Coturnix japonica: one gene and its partner. The protein of the gene in region 1 interacts with the protein of each later gene in a pairwise test. Links are inferred from orthologs where the notes say so. Each region holds a gene or a part of one and is shown on either strand. Other genes may lie near its edges. The genes, in order: SERGEF and DPH3.

Region 1 (12,153 bases):
ACATGTCTGTGGCCCCTCTGCAGGTTTTTAATGAACTGGTTATATTCTGACAGACCAATAAGCTCTTAAATCTCCAACACAACTCTAGGAAAACTGTTTCCATCTGCTCTTCATTTCCTTACCTGCCAGCCTGCACAAGCTAAAACAAATGTAGCAAATCTAACTCTGGCAGTTCTTTTTGTTTTATAAAATAATTTAATCCCCTTTGATCATCTTAACTCTCACATCTCAGTATAGAATAAACTGCATATACTGTTCACACATGAAAACAGCAGAATAGTTTCAGATGACTTACCTTTCTCTTCTACCTTTGTATTTCACAACAGAGCAACAATGCAAATGCGTTTAAATGGTCTTCATCAGATCAACCATCACTTTACACATGGATGTCATTAGTACATAGCCTTCCTAATCTACTCCTAGGAAAGAATCTGACCCAACAGTCTTCTGCATGTGGCAATCTTTCACATTTTCTATTCCCAGGAAGGTACAGGCGAACGCAGCCAACAAAATAATTTCATCTTATGATAACACTCTTCAAACTAATGAGGTCTCTTTTTTCTTATCTCTTCTAAACACTTTTCAAGTTTGACCACAGAAGCAATGAACTCTAAACCTGCTCAGTTTGTTTCTTTTCTGAATGCGTTGTTTTATTCTTTTTAAGCATCCTGCTACAGAAGAACAAGAGCAGCACTAGAAGGTACGCTCAGTCTTGAAGTATAAAAAGATCAGCACAGCTGTGCAAAGGAAGAAAGGCTCTGATAGATCTTTAGATCCTCAGCTAAGACAAGTAACCAGGGAATAGTTCATACCTATGACTCTCTTCATGCCTTTTAGGCAGACACTTGATCAGGATTATCTTCTCCCTCTCCTTCATTCCTGCATTCAGTTAATACTAGTAAGGTAACAGTTTGCGTGTAGTGTAGACTGTTCACAGATCTGCTGCCACATCTGGCTGCTTTTTACACATCCTACCTGTCTGTGCCACCAAGTGAGTCCAACCACTCCAAACTGCTCCAATCTTTTCATGTGAGAAAAACTGAGTGTCTATCTTCTTGGGCTCAGCAAGAAATACCTCTTCGCTCACCAGCTGCCCATGTTTGTTGCTACCCCAGACATAAAGGTGTCCTTCACCTGCAGTTGATAAAGAAGTAAAATAAGCTGAAAGCAACACACACAGAACAACAACAGATACATTATTTATCTCAGCTCAGTGATTTTGAGGAAAGGACAGTGTCTCTACCACACATACACATGCTATAATTAGAATATGAGAAATAGTTTCCCAGAGTCTTAACAACAAAATGTGTTTTCTGAGGGCTACGCTGACTTCCTGAGGCAACCAGAGTTTTGGAGTCAAACCATTCAGACCTCATTTCTACTCTGAGTTTATCAAAGATGACCAAAAAGCCTGTACAGTAAAAGCAAAGTTTTATAAGTGAACTAAGTAAAGTAGTAAACACCTTAGAGAAAAAGCTTGAAGTATCCTGCAATCACCACTCTGTCTTTGCAGCTTTTACCTCCACCCCAAAGCTTAGAGACAGCCCAGTAAATAACCTTCTAAAGAACAGCAAATAATACTGCTCCCCTCTAGCACTTGAGAAGTTTGAACAGGCTCCCAGCTCCACCTGTAACCATGCTGCTGACTTCAACGTGAGCATATTCAGTAAATCCTCAAAAGCAGGGATGGCCTGATGTTCCCTACCTCACCCTGCTCAGTCACTTCCTAAAGGAACATGACACACAGCCAAGACCAGGTGCGTAAAGCAGGTACTACCCATCACAAAACAAAGCCAAAATATTATCATATCTGAAAGCACCACTACACAACTACTGAGAGACTTCTGTAAGTAATTACTTGTCTTCCCCCACTCCCTTTGCAGAAGAAGCATTTGTGCAAGTACACACTCCAGGATTCCACCCACAGGGATAATTATATTTACAGAAACATGCATTTGCTTCATGTGGTTCTCCAATATGAGTTGGAGTTGCTCGCAGCCTAACGACCAATTGACAGTAACGAGGTAAGTGTTCAGATGAGTCCTTCTGCAGACACTACTTATCATTAACCCGATCTTTTCAACACAAGATGATTCAGCTCAAATTCTAGATCTCTGTGTTAAAAAACATAACCCATAACAAGCAGAACATGAGCTGTGTCAGGGCTCCTGAAGTCAGCTCATTCTGCACAAGCAAGAGAAGTCCTGCACACACAAAGTACAAGATCACAGGCCAAGGAAGTTTGGAAACTGAAATCTGTAGCACAAAGTTTTGTTCAGCTCCCTCTGCCCCCTTTATTAATTGATTTTAAAGAAGAAAAAATGTTTGCAACAATACACTTCAACCCCTTGTACCAAAAGCCTCCCAGTGACTGGTGTTTGGTGTCCCACCAGCAGGTGGCCTGTGGGACAGAGCTCAAGAAAACTGCATTGCTCAGCAAGAAATCCCTAGAAAAAAAACCCCAGTGATGCTCACTTACTAAATACTACACCTGACAGGCACTTAAATAAGCATCCTTAGAAGCTAAAGCAGGAGGAAGGGCAGCAATACCAGCACATCATTACAAGCTTTGACACCTACTGTGTTAGATGTGGTTGCCCTGTTGCCAAATAGATTGCTCTCAAAAAAAAAAAAAAGAAAGAAAGAAAAAGCATGAAACAATGATTTGCTCACTTTAAACACACAAAGTGCTAATTAGCTAAGGCAGATTCTATTTGTCCTGCCAGTTCCTCACTAATCACATACAGACTTCTCATCTCAGAACTCAATGTAATTCACATCTAATGTTTCCCCGTACAACTCCGTCTCTCTGCATAAGCGAGCTCTGCAGCGCTCCATTTGATGATGGCAGAGGTACCAGATGGCTGCATGTTTGCTAAGAACTCCTTCCGAAGTTTGGTAAAGATTTGTTTTCATACGGTTCAATATACTTCCCACATTCCAGAACCATAAGTTTACAGATGAAAAGCTATTCTCTTTCCCCATTTCTTTGTCTGCCAAGAAATAAAAGTAAAAATAAAAACAAATAACTTCTCTTACACTTTGCACTACCAGATACATAACACCCAATACAGGAGCGCTGCCTAAAGCACAAATGGCCCAAATTATGCAAGTGCTTAAGAGACAAAGCCATTTCCCCACTGCTTTTATTACACTTGGAGCTCTTACACCACCTCACACAGATGTATGTGCATGCTGTTACTGCAGAGCCAACAAAGACCTCGTGCCCACGCAAAGCCCATCTGACCTTCTGAGCTGCAGGAGGACAGTCACAGCAGCCTTTCACAACATAGCCCCCTAACATTCCTTCCCATTGGCAAAGGGTTGCACTCAGGCCAGGGCCCATGTATCCAGTCACCTGACGCAGCACCGCTGTTGCAGAGAACTATGCAAACAAGTGCTTTCATAAATCCCTGCAGAGTTTCTAACCACTAAGAGCCCAGACCCTTGCTTATTTCTAAGGGCTGTGTCATACCTGACCCCATTAATAAAATACATAGAACTCTGAAAATTTAACAAGTGAAACCAGATCTTAAGATGGAAGTCCCAGGATGCAAAACCACTACAGAATGGCTAACCGGCACTATGCCACAACACACTAATCAAGCCAAAGCTGACAGGCACTTCCAAAGCACACAACCCCCTTGTAAGTTGAGACAAGGACTTCTATGCCTGCACCTAAGGCCTACCTGTAAGAGACACACAATGGTAGGAGCCTGCAGCAACTCTCTTCACATCTTCCAGGCCTAGGGAAAATTTAGTCTCATAAAATTGTACAGAAGATGTCATTTTGTGCACAGACATGTAACAGTTATACCAAGGTATGATTGTTTGATAACAGTGAATTTTATAATGAAAACCTCTTCCAGGTCACAGATGCTAAAAGACTCAGTATCATTTTTCCCTGTGGATTATGAACTTGTACACTCATTATTTCAGATGCTCCATATTTATGATACCAAGCAGCTTTATAAACAGAAACATTACATATCACTGCAAAACATATTTCAGCTCTATCGCCTTGACAAAGTCAGACTCCAGAATTACCTTTTATTTCACAGGGTTCCTTTGCAGTCCAGAACAGAGGGAGAGTTTTCCCCTGGTGCGCACGCTTTGCCCGAGATGCCATGCCAGTTCCCCACTGAAACACCAAACCACTCTCTTCCCAGAGTGAACACACAGAGATTAAAACACAATAACCACCAATAAAATAACTTAAGTGAATAATTAATTAGTTTTAAAGGCACATTCACTGGTTCAAATTGTGCTTTGCATGCTCTTTGTGCCAAAACCAGACTTTACCAGGGTTATCCTTCTAGGCAACAACTATAGTCTCATTGCACAAGTGCAAATAGAAGCTAAAATTCACCCTTATTTTCTTTGCTCCCCAACTAAGCCATTAAAACACCAGGCATTAAAAGTACTCTTCATTTGTTCCAGAAATGAGAAAACAAAGATAACATATTCACCTGTAGCAGCAAGGGCATGTCTCAGTCCTGCAGCAATACTCACTACTTTCTCTTTGAGGGACTGCTCAAATAGAGGGGAAAAAAAAGAGAAAATGCTTTTCATATTTTTGCCTCTTAAAGCAGAGTATACTGAACACATTTGTGGGACACGGGGAAAACAGCTCCCAATTCCAGCCTGCATGTTATAATGCACACCAACATATTATTGTTTATTTTTAGAAGACCTTCCTTCTAATTTTTGTCAGCCATGCTTCCCTTCCATCCAAGCACTGAACAGGACACAAAGCAAAAGAGAAAATATTTCAGATGAATGAATGGTCCTCGCTGTCACTGCCACTGTTTTCAAGGCACCGCACTGGAATGACGTTCCATACCCTTGACGTTTCCAAGGAGCATCAGCTGAGGTAACCCCTACTTGCTAGAGGACCACCAGCTGTGCCTCCTTCCCTACATTACCCAGGCTGCCACAAAAAAACACAACAGAGCAGTGGATGGCACAGACCACGAGGCTACAATTCCTGCCTAGGGGTCCTTTCAGCTCTCACCTTATCATTTGCATCACATGGGAGAGTTTATCAGGTTGTAAAAGCTTTCTTCAAATAAGAAGCTACAGCGTAAATTAGGGATTAATTAGAATTCCCCTGAGAAATTTATTTACACTGTTAGGCTTACAGCCAACACTAAAGAAGCTTTTTTTGGTATGGAAGTCTCAGTTCTCACTACTTAAAGCATTTGAAAGCAAACAGTTTGAGGCTGCATTCAGAGCTCCCTACCTACAGTGGTGCATCTCCTTTCTGGGTCAAGGACCATCACTGGTTGTCTACTCTGTAAATTTACTTCATCAGATGGACTCCTTTAAAAAAGTTGAAGAGCCAGCCTTCAAAGCTCACTGAGATCACCAGACCCTTCTCATTGCTGTAAGCAACGCAATGCACAGAGCTATAGAGCAGTTCCTTCTAGATCTTTACCTCGATCTTTTGTGGAATCGAGCATGGACCTGAAATTTGAGGAACTCCTAGTTGCCCAAAAGCGTTAGACCCACAGGACAGAACAAGGCCAGCTCCTGCAAATGAAAGCATTAGAGAGTGATCACTGCATCTCTGAGCAAAAGCCAAGTATTGTAAAATTACATCAGGCAAAAACATAGTGAAATAATTGGAAAAATAAAGGCCTAACATCTCCCCTTTTCAGGTCTCCAAAGCCACAGCCTTCTGATTTTACACATAATGTTCAATTAAGGTCTGAAACTCACAAGGAACGCAACAGCAATGAGAACTCTCAGCGTGTTCTCCACATCCCCATATTCCCCCAACTCCTGCAAAGACAGACTCACCTCCTAGTATGATTGTAAAATCCCAACCACAGGCCACTTCTTGCACACAGAAGCCAGACAGGGCAGTGCACAGGGTAAAACGCAGCACATCTTCCGTGTGATTCAAACCCAACTGTCCCTCTTTGTTACAGCCACATACAAAGAGCTCTCCAGCACCTGGAATAATTAAATAAAATCACACTCAGTTCACAAAGAAGCACATATGCAATGAGATTCTGTGACAAGACAGTGATTATGTGTCATTTAACAAACTGAACTGCACAGAGACAGCTATTTCTGATGCACCAGAAACATGTTTGAGAAAGCACGGCTGTCATAAAAAAAGCATCGGCTCACATAGCAAAACAAGAACCTGTTTTCAGAAGGATTTCACACCATTCACACTTGCCCGTATCCCTTTATTCCCATAATTAACTATGGTGTATAGCAGAACCTTTTGAAGACCAGATGCTATTTTCTGCTCCTTACCTTAAAACTTCTCCAGATTGAATAACATTCCATTTGACTACTTCCCTCCTCATCCTCAACAGAGGAGGAGCAACAGTTTTGTATTAAAAGCGATTATGTCATATGGGTTTAGAAATTATCCTCACAAAGTAATTAAACAGCCACAGAAGATGAGCAAAGGAATTTCTCCAAAATATCAGGTTGATAGGGACGGGGGAATACGCTTTACAACTAAGAATCGATACTTGCTCATACACAGAAGCTACACATAGGTGGCAGCACTGCACCAGAAAGGAAAGACTTGTAGCAGCTCAAGTCACACAGCCCTTGCAAGAGCAATGTTTTTACCAGTGATAAGGGCAGAATGTCCCCCTCCTCCGGTGATGCTCTTGATGTCTTGACATTTGCAGGAAACATCTTCCAGTGACTGAGGTACCAGCACATCCTCTTTATGACCAAGGCCAAGCTGCCCGTAGCTGTTTGCACCCTTCAAATGCACACAGACAAATAACACATTAAAAAAGGAAGTTAATGAGAAGAGATGTGCATAGCTCTCCCCCTACAAGCCAGCAGCTTCACCAGGGACATGGCACGGGTTAACCTGACACAATCTGCTCCCAGAAATCCCCCAAAGGGCAACCTTCAACCTTCACTCTTACAGCCGTTACATGGCGCCCAGAACTACAGAGCAGGGCCATGCCAGAGCTGCTGCCACTAAGGCCAAACATGCAGCCCCAGCATCTTCATTCCACACAGGAACGTGCTCGTTAAGACTAAATACAGGCTAACACCTGGCAGGGCTGAATGCCTCCTTACCAACAACGAGGGCCACCTGTTTAACACTAACAGTGTTACTCATGCTAATGCCTTCCAGCAGAACGCACCAAAATAAGGTGAGAACGACAAGCTGTGTCGTTCTGGAACCTAAAGCAACAAAGCAGAAGCACTTACCCATCATTAACTAATTCTTCTACCTTACAGAGGGCAAAACACGAAGGTACCTGCCTGCTTTTACACACGCAGCACGGCAGGAACGCACCGGGGAGCTTCTCAGCCACTTGATGGTCTCCGAGATGACCACAGCCAAGCAGCACCCCGCACTGCCGCAGCTGGAGGCCGCCCCGTGGGAGCTAACCCACCTCACCTGCTGCCCCGAGTTCCTCGAAGGGTTTTTGCTCGGCAGCTCGGACCTCACGCAGGAGCACGGGCTGGCGTGGCAGGCACCTAACGCTCTTCACAAGGTCCGACACGTGCAGACCGCACGCCTTCAGGACAAGGCTCCGAACAGCAGCGGCCGCCCGCAGCTCCCCCCTCCGAAGCAGCCAACAAGAGGGCGGCGAGACACCCGGGCACCGGCTGTCACAGCCCGTCGCTCACGTTTCCCACCGCTCACAGAAGACTCGGCTCTGCAGCCCGTCCGAGGGCCGTGCTGGCCAGCAGAGCGCAGCGCAGCCGGAGGAGCCTCGCAGCGCCCACCCCCGCCCTCATTCCTTCGCCATCTCTCGGCCGCAAGGCGGGCCATGTCCCCGCGCAGCCCACGCGCCCACCTACCCACGCTCGCAGCTCCGCCTCCATGCGGCTCGTGCCCCTCCCGACCCGTCCGCGGCCGAGGAGGAAGAGGCGGGCCGGGGAGGGCCCTACATCAGCGGGAGCGGCCGCCTAGAGGCGGGCGGAGCGACGGTGCACGGAGTCGTGCTGCTGCACGTGGAGCGGCGCGGTGCCGGTCTGGCCGAGTGATGCTCACAAAGCAACCTGCCCGCACCCAGAATGCACGGCCGGCTGAGCACTAACACCTGCGGAAAGGCGACGGAGCCTTTATAAGGGAGAAAACTAATCGCTGCTCGCAGAAACACGTGCAGTTCGCGAGGGAATGAAGCCGCGGGTGCAGAAAGCCCGCACCGCAGTATAGAACACACAAGCTCAGTCGGAGTGGGCTGTGTTTATTGCTGAAGTGACGAAGGAAAGGTTTACCTGCTTCTACCAATTACCAGCAGGACGGTACAGGTTTATTTCATTGACACTTAAAGCCTTCACGACAGTATAAACATGCATATAATGAATGCTCTACCCAGCCAGGAGGGGTGGAAACAGAAGGTATGTGTGGTTAATAGTGTAAAAATGCACCTTTGCAACTGGATTCTCTGGTAAGAACCACATACAGAGAAGCAGGGTGCTATTAAATATACCCTACGCTTCAGAAATCTTCCATTTATTACACCCTCAACACACATAAATTAACTTCATATATTTGTGTCCTGGTACCCGGGGGTGTAATCATTTGAGTTCTAAACCTAAATACTTAAACATTAAATATTTCTATAATAGCACAGACTCAGAAGCACCGATTACTATAGTCCTATAGCTTCTATGCTATGAAGTCTACACTATTGTGAAATTAGCAGCACAGACCACTAGCATCAGAAAGACATTTCCCTGTGCCAAATTATTCTACAGCTGCCTCATAAGCCACTCGCTGAAGCATCTGATCCGAGCCCTGACCACAGTTTTGCTCCAGCCTAGTGATTTCTCTATTTCTTTGCTCACTTCTCTAAGGCAGCTCCAGGACTTGTTTATCCTCAGGGAATGGAGGTGAAGGAAATACATTCTGTAGGGGACTTTAAACAGAAAAATAAGTTAAAGTGAGTTAAGGTGATTATCTTTATGGGCTATCCACTCTTCCATTAGTAAAGGAAAGTTCTGCATACAAGACGTTACATGCCTAGAAAGAGACAAGTGGGGAAAAGAAAAGAGTTGCTGAGCACACAACACAGATGATGGGAACGTTAAACTTCCAGCTGCTTGCCCATCTTGCTGAGGGCATCGCTGACAATGTCCAGCTCATGACGGAGCTCGTTCACCACGCTGGCAATGCTCTTGGTGTCTTTCAGGATCTGCACGCTTTGAGTATATGGATTGTACTTCACACCAAATGGACGTTTGATGGTTTTTGCAAACTCTCTATTAAAGAAAAAAAGAGAGGAAGTTTAACCAGAAGACAAACATATCCTCCGTGTACAGTCAGTATCAGTAATGACTTTTCTAAACCGCTTACTTTCTTAGTGATCATTGTAATTACTACAAAGTTCATCATCTCTCCCATCCAGTACATGGGAGACCAAGTAAATATTAAACTCAGCTTTCCAGCCTCATGAAAGGCTATTATAAAATTATTATAAGAATGAAAGGAACTGGTGCTGCCTCTAGGAAGTCAAGAATGCATCTATAGAACAGGGAATGAAAAACAAAAACAGAAACGTACCTCATCTTTTCCTTTGCTTCTTCAAAACTTTCAGAAACAAAGTAAACCTCCTGGAAGGTTGTAATGAGACATTCTTGCTTGCAGGTGACCTTTGGATCGAAAGGCTTGACTTTGGCGCTGCCAGAGAGTGAGTGCTAAGTACCATCATGTGTTATCACGTGCCAGAGGAATATCACCACCAAAAAGAATCCATGAGGAAGATGAGATGGATTAAACAGCGAATAAAAAAAAAAGATGAGGTGAGATCATAGTGCGTTGCTTCTTAAAACACGTCTGCAGCTGAACAATGGTTTAAGCATAACAAAACTGAGTATCTCTGAAGGATAAGCAGTGGATATTCTTACCTTGAGCTCACTAATAGAAGAGAGCAAACCAGCCCCATAAACTCTTAGCTGTCCCTCCTGCTTGCACAGGCCAAACTCTACTGTGAAAAAGTAGCACTGAAACAGAGAAGGGAGTAAAATAAATCAGTCTTCAGCAAAGGTTTTGTGGTGAACTAGATGGGGGCACTTCTACTTGCCAAGTACCAAGAAGTTGCAAGTCATTACTTCATTATCATTCTCAGATATCTAAAGAGACAGGAACCTAAATAGAAGTGTGAAGAACCACAGGATTAAGTGTTTCTAATAAGAAAATCAGATAACATAGCTCACCCAGCTGGGGCAGAAACCAGTAGAAATGTGGAAATTTATTCTGTTTTGAGAAGCACTGCAATGACGTGAGAGATACAGCAAAAAAGAAACACTGGATAGACAGGGTCTCAACAAGTGAAAACATCAATCCAACACAGGTTGTTCCTTAGTGGTCTAAAAATTAAAGATGTTTAGTTTTCTGATTTTCAGGATTCCTGCAGGTATGTGGCAAGGAATGGTATTTTCTTAGATGGTTTACTTCTGCTCTCACTAAAGGTAGCAGCTTTACCACTAGCTATGACTGGCAGCTCTTTCATAACTGTAGTTCAGCGTTGAATATTATTGAAGTAATAGTTCAGTGTTTTTACATGTAATCTATATTCTCAGAAGTAGAAAGATATTTTCTGGAGCAAAAAGACTACAGAATTTCAAGCTGGAAGAAGTGATCTACCCCTTTAAGTTGCATACTTACTTGACCTAAGTGAAGTAAGACCTGTCACATCTTTCTTAAAATGTATCTTTTTCCCAGCATGGAAACTTGTTATATGTTCTAAAGCTAAGAGTCAGTGAAACAGGCCTAGCAGCTGGTGCAGTTAATGTTGAAATTAATCTCCGAATTAATTAGAATGGGATCAGCTGAATGAAGCACTAAGCTTTAAGTGGGATCACTGGGTACTGAAACACTCACCGTTGCCAGTTTTTGGACAGCCTCATCTGATGCCCCAAGTGATGCAAGACCAATTTCCTGGGAGAACTGAGCAAAACTGGGTTCAGCCAAAAGAGGGACATGGCCTAGGAGCTCATGGCAGGTATCGCTGGAAAAGAGGGGGAAAAAAATCTCATCTTTCTTTGTGGTGGAGAGAAAAAGTAGCACCACTAAACAGTGTCTTGTGTTCATTAGCTAAACAATATCCAAAATACAGAGGAGTATCAAATCAGGTTTAGCTGAAAACACACTTCTACAAAAGTACGGTTGCTCTGGTTTTCAAATGAAGGTATCTAATATTAAGAGCACAGCTTCATGTTTATAAGCCAACTGAACTTTAAACTCTGCCCACAATGACAACTGCAAGAGTCCTCCAATAACATGCTCTACTTTTGAAAACCTCGTGCTTATGAAGGTGGCACTTGAGCATGCTAAAACATCACTACATTCAGTGTGAAGACTGAAGTCTTCAGCACCTTTGAAAGTATGTTTTCTTGCTGGTCTTCATGAACAGCTTTTAAGTAGCTTGGCTTGGGCAGTAATACTCAGAAACATGAGTCTCATTCTACTCACGGCTCTGGTGTGTAGAGAGGGTCCGAGCTGTGTCTAACATACTGAGTGCAGTGAAAAACTCTGAATGCTAATCCTGCCAAGAAGTCTCTGGGTGACAGATACCCAGCAACTGGGCGAATGGTGAAACCTGTGCGCTCTACAAAAGGAGTGGAAAAAAAATATATGTTAGTTTAAAGTAGAAGTCCATAATGTTCCCATCTCTGCTACAAATGGGGTAAGTACCACAACACTACTTTGGCTTAAGAGCACATGAAAAAATTAGGCATGACTAGAAAATTTAGGCCTAATCTTGAGAATGGCCAACATTCAGTAGAAGTGTCCCTACATCTGCGTAGGTGGATTTCTTAAGATTTCATGCCTACAACCAACAGAATACAGTTAGGTATCACTTGAACCAGTCCTAAGTCTCTTTAGAGTTAGCATGGCCCCCCAAACCATCACTGCATATATTCAGGACATAATATGCTGAAATCCAGATGGCCAAAAGGCCTCTTAAATGACCAGAATTAATAGAAGCAAACATTTTGCTTTTAAGTTTCCCAGCCAAAACCAAGAATCTATCATTTTTCTTTTGTGCCCACATAGTAAAAGTGTGAATTGCAATGGACTTCAGTTCTTTTTCATGTGAGAGAAAATGAATACCCTACCTTTCAGGAAGCGGGACACGTCTTCCAGCTGGGGGATGTTGTCTTCCCTGTAGCCACAGTATTTGGTGAGCAAGGGCAAGTTTTTAA
Region 2 (11,820 bases), on another chromosome or scaffold:
CTTTTTTACAGTGCTCTTTGACTAGTGATTTTTCCCTTAAATATTAGAAGGTCTTACCACTGTCCCGCTTTGAAAGTAAAATCTTTGTTTGTGATGGCCAAACGTAGTCTCTTGACTGTCTGTGATTCATTGGTGATTCCACACACTTTGGCTTGTGAAATTACCTAACAAAAGAAAAAATAAGTACCTGCATGATGTGAACAGTACTTGCAGCAAAAGTACTCTGGAATCTGTACGTGAGATACCCGGCACTTCACGTTACCTGCACTGTTTCACTACCTAAAGGACGAACGTTCTTTCATTGTGGCAGAGAAACAAGAATAGGTCCAGTTAGTGAATGCAGAAATGCTTTTGTACTTACAGACCCCCATGTTTGCACAAAGCAAACGCTCCTTTACCTTTCCAGCAACAATAGCAATTATCTGACATGAAAATTAACAAAGGAACCTTGCAAAAGCTCAGCTGCTACTAAAGTCGCTGGGAGAATTCTGGTTCCATATCTGGCTTCAAGTAACTGAATGCCTTGTGTTACTGATTTACGCACATACTCATCTGACCACATACGTGATCTGTGAACGCAGGAAACTGTGACACAAACATTCATTTCTAGTTAACATAAGAGTTTTGTTTGGCAGATGGGAGGGGATGGGAAAGCCATAGTGGAAGGGTGGGAGGAAAGGAGGAAGGAAGGGTGGGAGGAAGGCAGGAAGGAAACAAGAAGCACATCTAGCAACAGAATCACGTGGGGAGTTTCCCACTTACATTTAAACACTTTGATGCCCATCAGTACAACATAGATAGTAAGATAAAAATGCCTGATGATGAGGGATGGAGAGGGGATGATAATTATTGCATTTTTACCTCTACAAATAAAGCAATGCTGTATATATTTCCTAAGCAGGCCAATATACATACTCTATTAAAGATGGAAATGCCATTTACCACATTAGGAAATATGAGTAACTCGCTACAACTTCACCACTTCTCATTTGTGTAAGATCAAATAGATTAAAAAAACACAAACAAACCTTCAGACGCTACGCTCTAATTTAAAACACATGGCAGGAAATTAATTTCTTCATAAAGCAGCGTCTGAACACATCTACTGTCCCACAAAACAGCAGGGCGTTTGCCAATTTAAAATGAAGTAGCAAACATTTCCTTTCCGCTTTAGAAGACGCTATTAAAAGGGAAAAGCAGTCTTTCTCTGTTAACAAGACAAATGTCAGATTAATTACTTAAATGGTTGTTTTAATGGAGAAACTTGAAGTGCAGGAAATTGATGTAAAGCCTGGATCTTCTTCCTTCCCTTCTTTACTCTTCTGAGCACTCCCCCAGTTTGTTCTTTGGCCAATACATCTGATAGAGCGCTGGAAACGTAACCCTTAATACTACAGAAGTTAAATGTGGCAGGGTGATGGAAGGCCTTCAGGCAGTGTTTCTGCAACACCACAAGTGTGATGGCCATGAGCAACACTGCAGTGAGACAGGAGGGCACCATCTGGGACCTTGCCATTGTATTTCAAAGCGTCAGGCACTTGTTCTGGTTCTTGTCCTTGTCCTTCATGTTACCAGTCTTCAACAGGTGATACAGTGTGGCATACACACTAATGCAATACAGACCTATGATTCTTTCATCTTTCTAAAGGACTGCAATGGCCAAAAAAGGCAATACAGACTAGGAGAAGCCAGCTGCTGATTATATGGAATTCAAAGCCAAGCAGAGGATTTAAAATAAACTGATTTTAAAGTGGTTGGGGAAAAAGTAACAAAGAATAAATCAAGCATTTAAAAAAAGAAACAACCCTCTGACATGCGGAGAATTTCTCACAGAACTGAATCATAGAACGGCTTGGGTTGGAAGGGATCCCAAAGATCATCAAGATCCAGCCCCCCTGCCACAGGCAGACACCAGCCTCCAGACTCAGTACTAGACTAGGGCCCCATCCAACCTGGTCTTGAACACCTCCAGGGATGGAGCATCCACAGCCTCTCTGGGCAGTCTGTGCCAGCACCTCACCACTGTCTCTGTGAAGAACTTCCCCCGACATCCACTGAGCCCAGTTCTTCCTCCTAACTCATACAGCTTCCTTCAGACCCCAGGCCTTATGCAGCTGTCTGTACCAGCTCAGAGCTCTCATCACCTTTCCATTTATTTTCAAGCTGTCCCCCATTTTTCTAAGCAGAAAAAGTAAGCAAGCCAAGCCATTAGAATTAGATGAAAACATGGTTGCAAAACTGCAAGGCTTTTGTCCGTGTCAGAAGCAAAAATGGGCATCTGCACCTGTTGCTACACAGTCACTCTGTCCATGCACTGAGCTAATGCAGCGTCAGACCCACGTGAAAGGCTGCTGGCCCCTACCCAAGGAAGTGCTAATGCCAGACATGAGCTCTGTAACATGAGCTCTCAAAGCACAGCTCTGAGACAAATGGTTTCCAAAGCAGCTTTGCTGACCGGCACGATCTTACTACATCTCCTCTACTGACCACAAAATCCACCACTTTTACAACAGTATCAAATACAAAAAACGAGGGGGAAAAATGTGAAAGAGACTCCATCTGAAGAGAAAATAAAGCCTATGAATCAAATACAATTACTCAATTTCTTCACCAAAAAGAAAACTTACACCCTAAAGAACAGAACACTGACCTCCTGGCGGAAATTATTTGCTGTTCTCTCCAGGTGATCCATTTTCCTTTTTGATTGTATTGTGCTGCAACAAGAAGCAAACGAATCGTCATCTTGACGGCTGTGCTACTGTGTCTTATTGGTATGGATTTCTATTGATCCAATCATTTGTCAGTGTAACCCAGCGTACATTCCAGCCGGCACAGTTCTGAATCAGAGTTATATGCAACAATATAATTTGGAGGTTACGGAGTATTTACAGGCCTGTAATAATTTGTCATTTGTTATTTCAAAGTGTTTTCATGACATTCTCTTCAAAAACTAGAAGTGTTAGTAGATGGTTGACTTACCCATTCGCTGTACAGTAACAAGAAGCGCAGTGCCTCAACACCACCAGCGCAGATTGAGCAGGACAAAGTCTGCAGGCACTTCTCAGTAAGTGAGGGATAGTACAGCCCATGTAAGTGGTAACACGAGCCATGATAACCAGGCTGTCTTTAGAATCACCAGCTCCTGCAAAATCCATATAAATACTTATTAAATAAAATACCCACTGTCTGACGTGGCTTGTGCTTATATAAAAGTCAGCAAGACAGCTGGCTAATAACCAAGTTTACCCTGAATCTGAAGGCTGATATTGTTTATTAACTTCACTAATAACTTGGATGATTGTGACAGAATGTACCATCAGCAAGATTAGGATACTTCACTTTACCAAATAGTGTTATTGTGCTCTTTGTATCTGCTGTCATTTGCATGGAAATTAATAGAATCAAAGAACTGTTTAAAGGTCCCTTCCATCCAGACTGTCACAAAGTCCCAGGGACCAGAAGGGATTCACCCAAGGGTGCTGATGGAGCTGGTAAAGGTGATTGCCAAGATGCTTTCCACAATCTATCAGCATTCCTGGTCAACTGGAGAGGTCTCAGAGGTCTGGAAGCTTGACAGTGTGATTCCCATCTACAAGAAGGGTTGTAAGGAGGATCTGGAGAACTACAGGCCTGTCAGCCTGACCTCAGTGCCAGGGAAGGTTATGGAACAGATCATCTTGAGTGAGATCACATGGCATGTGCAGGACAACTGGGAGATCAGGCCCAGCCAGCATGGGTTCATGAAAGGCAGGTCCTGCTTGACCAACCTGATCTCCTTCTATGATCAAGTGATCCACCTGGTGGATGATGGAAAGGCTACTCAGATTTCAGCAAAGCCTTTGATGCAGTATTCTCCTGGAGAAGCTGGCAGCTCGTGCCTTGGACAGGTACATCATTTGCTGGGTAAAGAAATGAGTGGAGGGCTGGGCTGGGCCCAGAGTGCTGGTGAATGGAGTTAAATCCAGCTGGCAACCAGTCATGAACAGCGCTCCCTATGGATCAGTATAAAGAGCCTATCCTGTTTAATATCTTTATTGATGACCTGGACAAGGGTACTGAGTGCACCATCAGTAAGTTCGCAGATGACACTAAGCTGGGAGGAAGCATCGATCTGCCTGGGGATAGGAAGGTCTCACAGAGGGATCTGGACAGGCTGAGGCCAGTGGGATGAAGTGAAACAGCACCAAGCACCAGGTCCAGAAGTTTGGCCACAACAATGTCAGGCAATGCTACAGGCCTGGGGCAGAGCAGCTGGAAGACTGTATGGAAGAAACAGACCCAGGGGTGTTGGCTGATGTTTGGCTGAACGTGAGCCAGCAGTGTGCCCAGGTGGCAAAGGAGGCCAGTGGCATCCTGGCTTGTATCAGAAATAGCATTGCCAGCAGGAGCAGGGAGGTGATCATCCTTGTGTACTCAGTACTGATGAGGCCACACCTTAAGTAGAGTGTTCAGTTTTGGGCCACTCACTACAAGAAAGATATTGAGGCCCTGGAGTGTGTCCAGAGAAGGGCAATAAAGCTGTGAGAAGTCTGGAGTGCAGCTCTTATGGAGAGTGGCTGAGGGACCTGGGACTGTTCAGTCTGCATGAGGCACAGGGGAGACCTCGTCACTCTCTATAACTGTGTGAAAAGAGTTGTGGTGAAGTAGGGGTCAGCTTCTCCTCCTGCATAACTGTTAACATGGAGTAGAGGGAATAGCCTGAAGTTTCCCCAGGGGAGATTTAGGTTAGATATTAGGACAAAGTTCTCTGAAAGTGGGGTTAGGCACTGGAACAGGCTGCCCAGGGACATGGCTGAGTGTTCAAGACATATTTAGATGTACTAAGGGACATGGTTTAGTGGGGAAAATATTGGTGGTAGGTGGACGTTTGGACTGGATGATTTTGGAGATCTTTTCCAACATCTGTGATTCACGATTAAAGGTCATCCAGATCCACTCTCCTCCCATGAACAGCAATACCTACAGCTGGATGAGGTTGCTTCCCATCCAGCCTGACCTTAAATGTCTCCAGGGATGGGGATTCTACCACCAATCTGGGCAATCTATTCCAGTACTCCACCACCCTTATCATAAAAGATTTCTTCCTCGTATTCAACCTGAATCTCCCCTCTCCTTTAGTTTGAAACAATTTCCCCTTGTCCTATCACAACAAACCCTGCTAAAGAGTCTCCACTTCTTATTGCCCCCTTCAGATACTGAAAGGCCACTCTCAGGTTTCCCCAGAGCCAATGAGCCCCAGCTCTCCCAGTCTGTCCTCACAGGAGAGGTGTTCCATCCCTTGGATCATTTTTGTGGCTCTCCTCTGGACAGGCTCCAACAAGTCCACATCTCTCCTATACCGAGGTCTCCACATCTGGATGCAGTACTCCAGGTGAGGTCTCTCCAGCTCAGAGCAGAAGAGGGGCAGGATCACCTCCCTCACCCTGCTGTTTTTGATGCAGCCAAAGATATGATTGGCTTTCTGGCCTGCAAGGGCACATTGCTGGCTCATGACCAGCCTGCCAAGTCCTTTTTGGCAGGGTTGTACTCTATCCTTACATCACCCAGCTTGTACTGATGTGGGGGTCGCCATGACCGAGGCGCAAGACCTTGCACTTGCATTTACTGAACCCTCATGAGGTTTGTCTGGGCTCCTGCTTAAGCCTGTCTAAGACTCTCTGGATGACACCCCAGCCCTCAGGCATGTCAACCCACACCACACATCCACAAAGACACACACAGGGAGGCATTACTTTCAGAGCAACCTACTATCAATTTTCAGCCAAAAGTACCTTTCATTTACCAAGCTTAGGAAGATGTTTATAGTAAGCCAAAAGGTATTTCTTAGTGCTTGTAAATCCGCCTTCGTTTCTCCTATAAGCACGTTGCTTGCTTCAAAAACCCTTTCTGCAATTAATTGCTACCAACCACAGTGACATCTGCTGGTAAATATGCGGCCCAACTTTGAAATGCAATACAAAGGTACATCAGTTTTATGTTCTTGGTTCACCAAGGGTTCTCCAAACCCTCCCTTTCTTCCATCGATCTGAGAGCAATGAGCGCTTCTTCTGTGCCTTGTCCCCGCATTACAGCTGGTTCTCCTTACCCTGCGAGCCACAGGCCCTGTGTTAACGCATCACATCGACCGCTGCGGCCTCTTCTTCCCTCAGTCCTACCGCATCTGAAGGGAGACACGGACTGTGAGCGGACCCGAGCCAGGCTGAGAGCAACGAGGGGGTACAACCCACCCACACCCCAAAGGCGAAGCGCTTTCCCTCCGATCCACACACACCACAGGCCCCCATCCCCGCCGCCTCCCGTTAGGCCGTGCCCCCATCGGACACCGGCCATAGGGGGCACCGCCGCCATGCCGCCCCACAGCCCGTACCGGCACCGCCTCACGTCACCCACAGCGCCGCCGTCGCGCGGAAGTTCGTCCCCTCTCCTTCCGTTTCGTCCCCGTTGCATGCCGGAGTCATGGCGGTGTTCCACGATGAGGTGGAGATCGAAGACTTCGAGTACGACGAGGAGACGGAAACGTACAGCTACCCGTGTCCCTGCGGGGACCGCTTCCTCATCACGCGGGTAACGGCGGGGGGCGGGGAGGGGGAGGCGGCCTTAGGGAGTGTGGGCCCGTGTGTGACCGTGTCCCGGTCCGTGACCGTGTCCCGTGGGGCTGTTGCAGGAGGACCTGGAGAACGGGGAGGACGTGGCCACCTGCCCCAGCTGCTCCCTCATCCTGCGAGTCATCTACGACCAGGTGAGTGCGGGCTCCTCATTCCTGAGGAAGGTGCCGTGGTTGTTTATAAAGGTCTCATAGAAAAACGGGATGTGGCTGGTGGGCAGCCGGTGGCCTTTCCTTTTGTCTCCTATCCTAATTGTTTTCCTGGTCCCCCGCGTCTCCTGTTGTGCCTTTGGAACGTGCTGGAATGAAATGCAGGCAAAACAGTCCCCGTGACTCCAGCAGTGGTCATCTGGCCAAATATCTTTTGTTAATTACAGGGCATGCTGTACATTGCATCTGCAGTGCTCTGTGCAGGCCTGGGGCTCCCAGCACGCAAAAGACATGGGTGTGGAGGAGGGCCATAAGGATGATGGAGGGCTAAAGCACCTCACTGTGATGACGGGCTGTGGGAGCTGGGCCTGCTCAGCCTGGAGAAGAGAAGGCTGGGGGGAGGCCTTATTGTGGTCATAAAGTACCTAAAGGAAGCTTATTTCAAAACAAAATAAAACAACCTTCCTGTTTACACAGTCTGATAGCGATAGGATCAGGGGGACTGGCTTTAAAATATAGGAGAGGAGATCTGGGTTAGATGTTAAGGAGAATTTTATCATTCATGGGCTGGTGGGGCAGTGCTACAGGCTGCCCAGAGGAGCTGTGGGTGCCCCATCTGTGAAGGTGACATGGCCAGGTTGGGTTGTGCCCTGGGAAGCCTGATCTTAGTGGTTGGCATCTCTGCCCAAAGCAGGGGGTTGGAACTGGGGGGGCTTCTAAGGTCCTTTCCAACTGAAGCCATACTTTGATCTTTGGGGAGAAAATTTTGTGCCAGTTACACCCAGACTAGAAAACAAAATGGTTATTTGATGCATTCCTGAGGAAGAGGAGATCCGAGACAAAAATAAAAGCCAACTAAAACTCTGCTTGCTGTCTCTAGGAGCAGTTCATGCGCGATGAAGTCATTGCAGAACCTTTGGCAAGCAAAGAACTGGTAAAGTGCTGATGAATCCATCATGAACTGTTGCTGCTTTAACATAAGCAAGTGTGGGAATGACAATTTTGGGAAGAGACGTTGCGCCGCCTGGAAGTTCTTGCTGCTGTGAGAGACACGTGCAATAATTGTCTGTCTTAATAACTTGAAATTTTTGGGGGCATCAGCATGAATGAGTTGTTTGTTTGTTTGTTTGTTTCCAATAGAGCTGAGCATTTAATTCGTATTAGCTGGGATACGTACTCTAGAAGACCAGGACTACGATCCTAATTTGACTTAATATGCAGAAGATGCGTATAGTGTTGCTCTACACTGAAATTAGAACAGTTACCCGGCAGTTGTCTCTTAGACTATACGGACAAGTTCAGTATATTTAGTGTGGGTGGATACCAGCATGAAATAGCACAGAGAGCTGAAATGTTGGGGGACGAATGTAGAAGTCAGTAGGACTCCATGGTTCTGTAGGACGCTGTAAAGAACTGAAGTTTTGATGCAACTTACCATCTCCTTGGTTTGGTGCCCTCATAGTTCCAGCATATACCGAGTAGGGGGAGATAATGAGATCCAGAACCTGTGCTGCTGGTACATCGTTTCACTCCTGTGAGTGGAAGGAAAGTGCAGTTGGATTCATAACCGTACTGGGTTGCAGCAGAAGCAGCTTTGGTAGCTGTATCAAAGGGCTGTCTGACACAATGGTTTGTATTTGTGTGCACTGTGTGAAAATGAACAGAAAGCAACAATTTTTGCCCCTGTACAGTTAGTAATAGATGAATGAAATTGAACTCAAAGTGGATTCTTCTTTGCCCATATTTTCTCAATCACATTATCACAGAATTGTAGGGGTTTAAGGGACGTCTAGAGATCATCGAGTCCAACCCCCAGTCACGTTGTGGTTTGATTCTTGCAGCAAATATAAAACAGGCTGTATTTGTCTGTTCTGTTTCTGGATTTGTAAGTCTTGTTTTGTTGGGTTCTGTCATTTCCTGGCAGACTGTTCACTTTATTCAATAATGAAAAGGAACGTTTTTAGGACAGAAGAAAGTTGCAAGAATGTGCTCCAAAGTACCTTGGTTCCAAGACTTCTTGAATCACAGCCCACTGCACTTAAATACTTATTTTAAATGGTGATAATTTGTGTGTTTTAGTAGGATGTGACATCCGGGAAGTTTAGGGGAAAATATTTGTGCAGCATTTATATCATCTTTTCACTCCAGGCACAAGAGATGAGCAGGTCTTACTGATGTCTCGGATTTGGTTATTTTTGTATTTGCAACATTCTGTGAATGTGGGAAACAAACCTAATTACTGCTTAAAACAAAAGCAGGCAGGAGCTGACACCCTGCAACAGGAAGTTTTGAAGGCAACATGCACAACCCGCGTTGTTTCTGTACGTAACCACCAGGTGTCGCTCCTGGGACTTAAATGTCTGTGCTCCACAAAGTGCTGGGGAAATTTGGTTAGCTATAAATATTTATTTTGACTTATGCTTAAATAAAAATGTTTGAAGCTACACCAGTGATTATAATGGGCTGTTACTTCCTCTGCTTGTGCACCAGTCACAATGATTTCTGAAGGTGCTGAGTTTCTGCTGCGGTTGTAATGCCAAAATCTTTCCAGGCTGGCTGAAAATAAGTGGTTTTTAGTCTATCAATAAATGCAGGAACCCCATTTAAGCTGCCATTCGAACTACAGCTGCTTTGTTTTCCAGAGGTTTTCCAGGTAAAACCGTGTTAAAGTTAAAAAGGAACACTAGGGGATGTGTACTCAGAAGTATCGGCTGTATTTGATTTGGTGTGTCCTAATACAAGCTCTGAAATTATTTTCTGTAGCATTCACCATTGCTCTAAAATACAGATCAGAGCTTTTCTGACTATAGGAAAATTGTTACGTCAGTTCAGGACTGTCAGTGCTTAAGGTTTTGTGATGAGCGTATTATACACAAGTTGTATGATGCTGTTTCTGTATGTGTTACTGTTGTTTTATGTAGTGTGTATCAGTGCTTTATTGGGGTTTTCATTTTATTTCCTTCTTCAGAGCTTTTTAGTAGCATAACAGTAAAATGTGGCTTACTTTGTTAGGAAAGGATGCATCCATGTTTGCCCACAGCAATTGCACTCAGTTTGGTATTACTGCAGTATCTTACGGGTTGTTGGGGAATAATCACTGTCCCTTTGTAATACAAAGGAAAGATAAATCAAAAACCAAGCAAGGATGGATGAGATCTGTCTCTTCTGTAGCCTGAGATAGATGTTTAAAAACTGTTGAGCTGCTGTTGTTTGCAGTTACGCAGAGGGATGGAGTTCTACTGCAATGGAGTTCATCCTTCTGAAAGCTCCGTGATGCTAAAGAGCTGCCTGTTTTTGTTCTCTGGGAGCTGGTGAGTAGCTTTGGACCCCAGTGATGGCACACAGCTATTCCATGCTGTGTAATGCCACAAGGCGAGGCAGGGCAATCTGAGTAACACATCAGAAATGTTCTTTACTAAGGAATTCAGTCACAAGGTTTCTTCATAGCACCACAGGCCCTCGCACAGTGTGTAGGCCCCTTGTTTGTTACTTGTGTATTACATATTCTCAGAACCAATGGGTCACTTGTCTTCCAAAAAGGCAGTTATGTAGGACACAAAGAAGTCTTTTGTTTGTTTGTATCTGACAAGCAGATGGATTGATTAGCTAAAAGGTCCTGTAGTTCTGAGTCATTGTGCCTGTTTATCAGGCATACATGATTCGTTTTGAATAGGTGCTTTGGAAGCCCATGACTGAGACCCTGGACCTCTAACAGCCGAGGTCTGTAGGTCACCAACTTCAGCTCTTGCACTTGCTCCATTTGCCTGTATGTTAGGGAGGTTGTAATGACCTAAAGGTCAGTATGCAAATGCCTCGTCACTTCTTCCTGTCATCATAAATATTTAATTTGGATTCTCAGCACCATTCAAGAACTGACCTCCTTTGCAGAGCACCATGTTAATAATGATGAGCGTATAGGCTGTCTGGTCTATCTACCAAGAAGCAGATACTGGTCCATTTTAAATGAGCCTTCAACATACAAATTAAGAAAGTAAGGTGATAACTCTGTAATGCCACTAAGAAAAACAGCTTAAATAAACCCCATTTCCATCCTTCCTTAATTTCAGTTTAAAGTTCAGACCAACCTTTGCTGCAGGGTTGAGTATTTGCTACACTGAAAGTGTAATGAAATGTTACTACAGATAGGATTTAGGAAGATAGTAACAGCACAGTAAAACAAATGTATGCCTTTATTTGCTTTGCATGCAGTTCTTCGTGGGTTGCTTTCTCTTTATGCTTAGTTAGACTGAAGCTTTGATTCTGCTTTGTGGTAACTTAAGATGCTGCTTTCTTCATGTCTCTCTGTGGCAGTCATGGCATAGAGGAGACATGAAGGTCAGGGAGGATGCAAAGGGTCCTGTGTAACCCTAAGGATGCTGGCTTCTCAGCCTTGGAACTGCTCAAACCTTTTGAGTGACGGAGGTAACAACTAAGAGAAGCTGTGCCCAGCTGCTGGGCAGCTGCTTTCACGGTGTAACCTGCTGTCATGCAGGAAGTGGGTCAAAAGGGACTCACCAGGAGGGTAAAAGCTCAGGTGACCTGTCATCACCCCTTACCATCCCTGTTTCCATCTGTTTGCCTATCAGGTCACCTCTTCAGAATTCTTGGCAGCTCCCCAGCCCAGTGTGAGCTTCCTCCCATGTCATGGAAAATCATTGCCGTGCCATTGACTGGGCACAGTCAGCTGAGGGGATTGCCCTGAAGGTGCTGGATGGTGTGTGAAGGTCAGCTGCCCATCCACCAGTGCCATTATGCACCCTGAAAGGCAGTGATTGTAACCACTGTTAACAAATGTTGCTGTTTAAAACCCTGCTAGTATCTTGCATCTGATTTCTTCCTTCAAGTGAAAGAGCAGTTTAATTTGGATTCACAGAGCGCTAATTCATTCATGAGTGTTTACCCTACATATATACAGTTAACTCAGCATCTTTGTGCTCGCATCTATATTTTCAGTTGTGGTTTCATTAACACAGTGTAACTTTCAGTCTTCACCCTGCTCTGGTGTCACCACAATGATGGATGCTGGTGTGCATCCCTTTGCCTGGAAATGAGAATCTGACTCTTCG

The links.
Region 2: the proteins of SERGEF (region 1) and DPH3 interact in binary tests that used the Homo sapiens proteins (3 or more experiments, as listed by UniProt). The link is inferred for Coturnix japonica from reciprocal best matches to the Homo sapiens genes SERGEF and DPH3.

The regions. Positions count from the first base shown.
Region 1 is NC_029520.1:16,912,164-16,924,316, reverse strand, and holds the start of SERGEF (secretion-regulating guanine nucleotide exchange factor), read right to left. Parts: upstream 7,900-12,153; 5' UTR 7,825-7,899; coding exon 7,801-7,824; intron 6,737-7,800; coding exon 6,598-6,736; intron 5,959-6,597; coding exon 5,803-5,958; intron 5,533-5,802; coding exon 5,438-5,532; intron 4,531-5,437; coding exon 4,470-4,530; intron 4,162-4,469; coding exon 4,048-4,161; intron 3,747-4,047; coding exon 3,690-3,746; intron 1,135-3,689; coding exon 976-1,134; intron 1-975. Other genes in the region: TPH1 (tryptophan 5-hydroxylase 1), read right to left, coding at 9,033-9,207, 9,509-9,642, 9,853-9,948, 10,829-10,955, 11,420-11,555, 12,067-12,153. UniProt on the Homo sapiens protein: Probable guanine nucleotide exchange factor (GEF), which may be involved in the secretion process.
Region 2 is NC_029517.1:31,394,744-31,406,563, reverse strand, and holds DPH3 (DPH3 homolog), read left to right. Parts: upstream 1-6,435; 5' UTR 6,436-6,456; coding exon 6,457-6,564; intron 6,565-6,664; coding exon 6,665-6,739; intron 6,740-7,634; coding exon 7,635-7,700; 3' UTR 7,701-9,356; downstream 9,357-11,820. Other genes in the region: OXNAD1 (oxidoreductase NAD-binding domain-containing protein 1), read right to left, coding at 58-164, 2,651-2,714, 2,980-3,110.